2 linked regions of the Nothobranchius furzeri genome follow. The protein of the gene in region 1 purifies or fractionates together with the protein of each later gene. This does not show direct contact. Links are inferred from orthologs where the notes say so. Each region holds a gene or a part of one and is shown in the gene's direction. Other genes may lie near its edges.

Region 1 (3,649 bases):
GGATGAGTCACAAACGGGTGAGCCTGGGTGGCTCGGGGGTGAGCTCAGAGGCAGGACCGGTTGGTTTCCAGCTAATTATGCAGAGCGTATACCCGACAGCGAAGCCCCAATCAGCCTCCGCTCCACTTCCTCAACCACACCCACTTCAGCCCCGCAGCCCATGACCACGCCCCCTCCGGCTCCTGGACACACCTCCTCATCCACATCATCTGGCAACAGTAACTGGGCAGACTTCAGCACCACGTAATTCCCCCACACGACAACATGATCTGACTTAAAAACTTTTTGGATGAGAATGAAGATTTTTCTGTGTAAATGTTTCCAGATGGCCCTCAAACACAACAAGCCAATCAGACAGTGAAGGGTGGGACGCTTGGCCAACTTCTTCAGCCAATCAGAATCCATCTCTCAGTGTTCCATCTGCACAGCTACGACAACGCTCCGCCTTCACACCTGCAACTATGACAACAGGCTCCTCCCCCTCTCCTGTACTAGGACAGGTAGTGGAAACATTGTCTCAGATATTGATAAAGTCATTGATCACACGAGTCACAGATGACCATGAGCTGCGATATCTGTCTGTCAGGGAGAGAAGGTGGAAGGGCTCCAGGCTCAGGCTTTGTACCCCTGGAGAGCAAAGAAGGACAACCACCTTAACTTCAACAAAAACGAGGTAGAACCCTCATCACTGCCACACGATAACAGGAAACTGTACATTTGCCTGATGGCGTGGATGTTAATGTTGATGCAGATAATAACAGTGTTGGAGCAGCAGGACATGTGGTGGTTGGGAGAACTTCAGAATGGACAACGAGGCTGGTTCCCCAAAAGTTACGTCAAACTCATCTCGGCCAACGTGACCGTTCCCCCCAGCACTGTAGCTCGAAATAAAAACACAAGGTAGGGTCGAAACCTCCGCTCTCGCCATATTTATCCCATGAAAGTCACAAAAGTTTGAATTTACGTATGTCTCACATCTCTTAGTGAATCTGGAATGTCAGAAAGCCCACCCAATGGAAAACGCCCCTCATCTTCTCCGACAAAATCCTCCGACACCGGAGAAGGTACCTCATGGAAACATTTCAGTACATCACAAATATAACGCATCTATTATTTACACTTTACTTTTCTTTTCCTACAGAATATGTGGCCATGTACACCTATGAGAGCACAGAACAGGGAGACCTGAGCTTCCAGCAAGGAGACATCGTCATGGTGACCAGGAAGGAAGGAGACTGGTGGACAGGCACGGTCGGAGGAAAGACTGGAGTCTTTCCGTCCAACTATGTTAAGCCACGCGATTCATCAATAGAAGTGAGAGCTCACTTTGATTAGTTAGTTTCCAGATCATTTGAAAGAAATGTTTGTAATCTCTCTACATCCTTATCTGAAGTCACTGGGACCCGCAGGGAAGACCGGCAGTCTGGGGAAGAAACCAGGTCAGTGCTTACAGCCTGAAGAGTTCCTTTTACTTTTCTCTAATGATGTAAATTCATTTTCTCTGAATCTACCTTGCATTCTGTTGGAAATAACTTTTGTAGTTAAAGCTCCAAAGCAGGAAAACAAACCCGCTTCTCTTTTTCAGAGATCGCTCAGGTGATTGCAGCCTACACGGCAACAGGAGCAGAGCAGCTGACGCTAGCTCCAGGACAGCTCATCCTCATCAGGAAAAAGAACCCCGGGGGCTGGTGGGAGGGCGAGCTCCAGGTACTCAAGTCATGTTCACATGCGTCAAGTCTGACTTGGTTATTTACCTCCCTATAAGAAACTGGGTTTGAATGGAACAGGTTTTTGTTGTTTTTATGAGGTTTGTGGATTAGTGTCTGATATGTGGTCACTTCACTGATCCAGGCTCGAGGGAAAAAGCGCCAGATTGGTTGGTTTCCAGCCAATTATGTGAAGCTTCTGAGTCCAAGCACCAGCAAAACCACACCAACAGAACCAACTCCTCCCAAACTGGCTCCTGCCAGCACAGGTACACACTACTCCAGAACACATGTTTGTGTGCCGTTTTAGATTTGGGGCTATGGTTCAGGAAAAAGATGGAATAGGTCCCCTGGAGCGGGGTGGAGTCTTTTCCTCAAGCAGAGTCTTGACGTGTAGTTCATGAGTGTTGGTAGGAGGAAGCAAGATACAGACTTCTGCTGTAAGGTGGTAAGGAAGAGAGAGTTATACATTTTGGAGCTCCTTAACCATAACAACCCAAACCTGGGAGACCTGGGATGGATCCGTCTGTGAGGCAGATGTTGCTAAAGTGGTCAAACGTCATCTCTGGATGAGCTCTATTCCAGGTATCTGTCGGCTGTGGGACTGTCCTGGCTGGCACGTCTCTGAAACTGCCACAGAGGTCATAACAGTTATAACTGTGTGTATATAAATGGCCTGTATTTGTATAGCACCTTCTTAGGGTTGTACGACCCCCCAAGGCACTTTACAACACAATCAGTCACACACTGATGATTATGAGCTACGCTTAGCCACGGCTGTCCTGGAGCGCGCTGACAGAGGCGAGGCCTGCTGAACACTGGTGCCACCGACCCCTTTGACCACCACCAGCAGGCAAGGTGGTTAAGTGTCTCGCCCAAGGACATGATGGAGCCTGGCCAGAGCAGGGATTGAACCTGCAACCTCCCGATTACTGGACAACCCGCTCTACCTCCTGAGCTACTGCTGTCCCAACATAACAGCTTTGTCCAGTTAATTGCTTTTCGTGCCCTTCACCTGTAATTTAGTAGCAGTTGAGCATGACAGCAAATGAAATGTCATGAGCATTCACAGTCAGATCAACAACAGGCACTCCCTCTCACTCACGGTTCAGCCAGACCTCACCTACATGCCGTTTACGGTTAACTGACTATTAACCATTAAGAGCATCAATAGTCAGTTAGACATTCTGGAAACGTGCATGTCTATATATATAAATCTGGTGTGTGTGTGTGTGTGTGTGTGTGTGTGTGTGTGTGTGTGTATATATATATATACCAGATTTAATTTTCTGTCTCCCAAAGAAGGTAAAGGGAGTTTGTGATAGACAAGAAGCACAGCTTAAAGATTCATTAGCTGTACTGTTCATTATTCATAAAACTTTGTCAAAGCAGCTTTCTACAAAGCCACAACCAAGAGCTCTGATTTCTGAGCCTGCCCCCAGTGGCAGCAGCAAGAGCCAGTCACAGTTACAGCTTTACATTAAGGACCAAGAAAGAATCCTTTCGGTTTGCAGCTAGCATGTTGTCCCCTTGCATGTGGGTTTTCTTCGGTACTCCGGTGTATTCTCACAGGAGAACTATGAATTTAGGTCATTTGGATCAAAGCTTCTGCTGCATGAATAAATGTAAACAATCCAGCTTTAATCATCCCTGTTTCCTGTCCTGAAGGTCTGTGTCAGGTGATCGGCATGTACGACTACGTGGCCCAGAACGACGACGAGCTGGCCTTCCAGAAGGGTCAGGTGATCACAGTGCTCAACAAGGATGACTGTGATTGGTGGAAAGGAGAGCTGAATGGGAGAGAGGGCCTGTTTCCTAGCAACTACGTCAAGCTGACCACAGACACTGATCCGAGCACACAGTGTGAGTACAAGCACACACAGCCTTCCCTGCAGAGTGCGTCTCACACTGACACACACACAGAGCGTCCTAAAATTAACATA
Region 2 (4,136 bases), on another chromosome or scaffold:
TGGGAGACCCTACCAGGGGCACTAAGTGCCCCAGACAACATAGCTCCTAGGATCATTAGGGCACTCAAACTCCTCCACCACAATAAGGTGACGGTTCAAGGAGGAGGTGTGCGAAATTTGTTCTCCGCAATTGACCCTGGGGGAGCGGTGAGCTGCAGACACAGCTGTGCTCAGGAACCATTTGGTGGCTTAACCCCCCAGTCCAACCCCTTAATGCTGAGTGTCAAGCAGGGAGGCATTGGGTCCCATTTTTTCAAAGTCTTTGGTATGACCCGACCAGGAATTGAACCCTGATCTCCCAGTCTCAGGGCGGTCACTCTACCACTAGGTCACTGAGCTGGTCTGCCAGGCAGCAGTATTTGTTGCCGGAGGGAGACGCGCTGCGTCACTCTCGAGATTTTGAGAAGTCAAGTGGTCACACAGGCGGAGCTGCTGAACGCTTCTTGGAAAGTCGCGTAATAGTCACAACATCACGTTGGACTTGAGAACAGAAATAAGGAAGTGACTCTATTGTTTATACATGATCAGACTTGCTGTCATGTTTTGTGAGACTCAAATTAATTAAAAATGGGTAAGTATGCTATTTATTTAAATTTGAAGTTATCAAAACTGTGGTTGGGTTTGTGCCGTAAAGCCATTCCACGTCGTAATGTCTGTTGTAAAGTACTCCACAATGTTGTAAACAGCTGCGCCGCGGCACTTGAGATAAAACTGGCACCTGTCTTCAGTGCCTAGGTGCAGCACAGCGCTTCTGGGACGCCGCGCGGCGTTCCCTGTGTACCCACTCTCATTAACTATAATGGCTTTTATTTAAAACGACGGCGCGGGTGCGGTGCGTCTGCCTTCAGTGTGCCCCAGGCTTAAGAGTCTGGTAGGAGTGACTTGCTCTTTAAATTGGAATGTCCAACCCTTTCAAGAGCAAAATAATCAACTGAATTTTTTTTAATAATGCTGCAGTTATTTTATGTTTTTATATGGTTCAAAACACCAAAAATATACACATTAATAAAAATGTTTGATCATGAAAATCTCAAAGTTTCTATCTACATCACCAGACTGCAGGAGAGACAAAATCCCACCATTCTAGAAATTCAATAATGAGGCCAAACAGTCTATGGGCCAAACAAAATCACTCCGAGGGCCACTAAGGGCCCCCGGGCCTCCTTTTGGGTGTGCCCGTATATTATGTCGATGGGCGTGCCCAGGGTTAAATGACTGGCCTGCTGTTAGTGGGTGTGATTGGACGACTCTGTATTTCGGGTCCGGTTCCAGGTTTTTCAGCGGCCTCTGTCTGTGTCTGGCAGCAGCGCAGCCTGAAAGCAGTGGGAAACAGAAACACTATGGCTGCCACTTTGTCTCTTACTCAGGTAACAGTGTCTTACAACTCAAATATAACGACAACGAACGCCGCGGGCTTCTGTCCGCGTTACTTGCGCCCAACTCAGTGGTGCTGGCCGGACTGGGCGGGCGGAAACGAGTGCTCTCCTCGACCGTCGTCGGTGTTGGGGAAGTTTTAGCCCTGCTGCGAAAAGTTTCTGTCTAATCTCTTTGGGGACTGCGTAAGGGCGTAGCTAGCCAGCTAGCCTGCCTGCTAACAGCTAGTTTATGTCCAGTGTGGGGCTGTTAGTGGGGCTTCTTTGTCAAACTTGACGTTTAGCTAACGTGACTTGGCTTTGGTTAGCAGTCTTTAAAACAACATTGCGCACCCTCTGTTAGCCGCAGGCCAGCCGGTCTTTGCTAAGAAGATGATAACCATGTGTGGCTCTCTGTTGTGGCTCTGCTGTCATATTTTAGTTGGTTAACGTTCGCTCCAAGTTTTAGTTATGTTGTGTTGCATCTTCTGCTTTCGTGTGCTTTATAAGCTACGTTGCTACTCCCATGGCTGTCTGCATGGTTACACTTGATATGGCTATAAATAGAATGAAACGTGCTTCGGTTGATGTGTTTTTATTCCTTTGACATTTTTGAAGTGGACAGACTTTATTATGTTCAATTATTTAATGTAAACGTTGAGTTAATTTTTAGTAGTGCAGCTTTAAATAATGTAAACTGTCGTTCTGAAACCAGTAAGAGGAAGTTAACTATGGCAGCCACTAGCTCGTTCTGCTGTCAGAAGTAAAAGCCTGTTGCTAGTTGGGTGAAGAACCCAAAGTTGGTGAATTGTAAGTTATTTAGCAGGTAGCGGGCAAGTTTAATTGGTATGGTCACCCGAGCCTCTGTTGCCTCTGTCAACAGAGCAGGAGCAGCGTTGTCTCTGTGTTTTCTCTTCATTGCTGCTGCTTCTTGTCTGATTAGTATCTAATCTGACCTCCATGTTTCTGCTGACACTGTTTACCATTTTATTGCTGTGACAATCAAACATGTTGAAATGTCAAAGAGAAACCAGCCTGTCCTGTTAACAAATGCAACATGATGCATCTTGTTGAATGCCAAAGTTTTGAATGAACTATGCAATAATGGTTATAGTTTTTTTTCACTTTATGGCTTTTTAAAGAGTGCAGTACAATGATGACAGTGTCACAGCCATCGATAGTTCCAGGCACACTACTGTGTTACAATTTCTGTGTGTGTGTGTGTGTGTGTGTGTGTGTGCGCGCGCGCGTCAACAGTTATCTCACTTTAAAATTGGCATTTAGTTGTCCAAAGTAGCTGACAGACAACTGCTGATGACAGGCTATGTTTTTTTTCTTATGTGCCAGAGTTGGTTACATAATTTACTCCTAAGCTGATGTTGCTGTTTTCTTCTTCATCTTCATATTGGTTTGGAGATGGAAGGAAAGCTTTTAAGACTGCTCCTCAGCACATCCACTTACCAGATAATTGCTGTCCACTCCTTTTCTCTATTTCATGGAAGCTACCATTTAGCATTTTTAGTTTAAAAACAGGGAAATGCTGATTTGTTTCCTGTTTAGCTCAGATGAGAAGAGGAAAGAAGGGATATTACATCAGAAAAGCAAATTACTCTCGAGTGTTAACATCTTGTGGCTTAGTTTGAACACAAATCACAGGCTTCCAGAAGGTATCGTCATGGTAATTCAGCTCAGAGCTTTAGTATCAGTTAGCCTTGCTTTGCAGTTTCATCACCAGAAAATAATGATTAACTTTGCTTTGTATAAAAAACACAAAGATATGTTTGTCATTTAATTTTTGCATGAATAAAGACTCACCTCTTAGAACCTGTAACAGTGAAAATCTAATTATTCAACAATCAAGAATCCCAGTAGTGGCATCACTTGTTCTTCACAAAAGTGGCATTACTTCAACGTGTCTTTGGTTTTACTGATTAATTATGATCAGTTCTGGGATAAGCTAACATTTTGTGGCATATTTTAGGCTTTATAATATTTTAAATTTAAAGGTTAAATCTACTGGTGCATGTACTCTAGTGGCTCTGTGGCTTTTTAAACTCTGTGGTTAACGTTTTCAGTTTTTGATCTTCTGACTGATTTTCTCTAGCTGCCAGATTATATTTTATTCAAATTTGTAAACTAAAAAGATTTCTTAGAGAAATACAGACATTTTAGGTTTTTGTAACTGACACTTTAAAATTTTGTTTTGGACTCTATGAAACGCATCAAATGAGGTTTGCAAAATTTACAAACATGCTTTTATTTGTTTTCAGCTTTCCAGTGGAAATCCCATCTATGACAAACATTATCGACAGGTAATGGAAACGACCACTCCTCTTCCCTTTGTTAAATTATATTATAAGCATGAATATTTATTATAGCAATTTAAATATCAGTAGTTTTTTTAACCAATGTCATTCAGTTGTGTCAAATTCAAACAGACTAACACAGAACAACCGTTTTTATCTGTTGCTTTTGTGAATTTAAAATTGAAATTAGCTGTAGAGCTTTCACTGGTGAGTTCTCTCTTCTGCCTTTTCTTTTCCAGCCTATGAATTAATAATGTTTCCCTTTGACAACCATTCAGGGAAGCTCCCTCTGGGCTTTCTAATGGAGTGCTGAGCTAATACTACAGAGATTATAATAGTTCTGGTTAAAGTGAGACACAGGCTCTTTATTCAGAACCTGTGCATCCGAGCGTCATGCACATTAAACATGCTGCTGTGGGCGTGCATGCAGGTGGATCCCACTGGCAGCGGGCGGGTAGCGGCAGCTGATGCGGCTCTG

Evidence for each region. The genes of interacting proteins can lie anywhere in the genome.
Region 2: the proteins of itsn1 (region 1) and eps15 purify together in Homo sapiens (co-immunoprecipitation; 3 studies listed by BioGRID and IntAct, with this or other methods). This does not show direct contact. The link is inferred for Nothobranchius furzeri from reciprocal best matches to the Homo sapiens genes ITSN1 and EPS15.

Annotation. Positions count from the first base shown.
Region 1 is NC_091752.1:40,932,808-40,936,456, reverse strand, and holds part of itsn1 (intersectin-1), read left to right. Parts: coding exon 1-243; intron 244-325; coding exon 326-500; intron 501-586; coding exon 587-673; intron 674-751; coding exon 752-900; intron 901-984; coding exon 985-1,064; intron 1,065-1,141; coding exon 1,142-1,314; intron 1,315-1,393; coding exon 1,394-1,439; intron 1,440-1,585; coding exon 1,586-1,707; intron 1,708-1,851; coding exon 1,852-1,975; intron 1,976-3,374; coding exon 3,375-3,569; intron 3,570-3,649. UniProt on the Homo sapiens protein: Adapter protein that provides a link between the endocytic membrane traffic and the actin assembly machinery. Acts as a guanine nucleotide exchange factor (GEF) for CDC42, and thereby stimulates actin nucleation mediated by WASL and the ARP2/3 complex.
Region 2 is NC_091748.1:56,887,639-56,891,774, reverse strand, and holds the start of eps15 (epidermal growth factor receptor substrate 15), read left to right. Parts: upstream 1-1,196; 5' UTR 1,197-1,211; coding exon 1,212-1,367; intron 1,368-3,622; coding exon 3,623-3,664; intron 3,665-4,088; coding exon 4,089-4,136. UniProt on the Homo sapiens protein: Involved in cell growth regulation. May be involved in the regulation of mitogenic signals and control of cell proliferation. Involved in the internalization of ligand-inducible receptors of the receptor tyrosine kinase (RTK) type, in particular EGFR.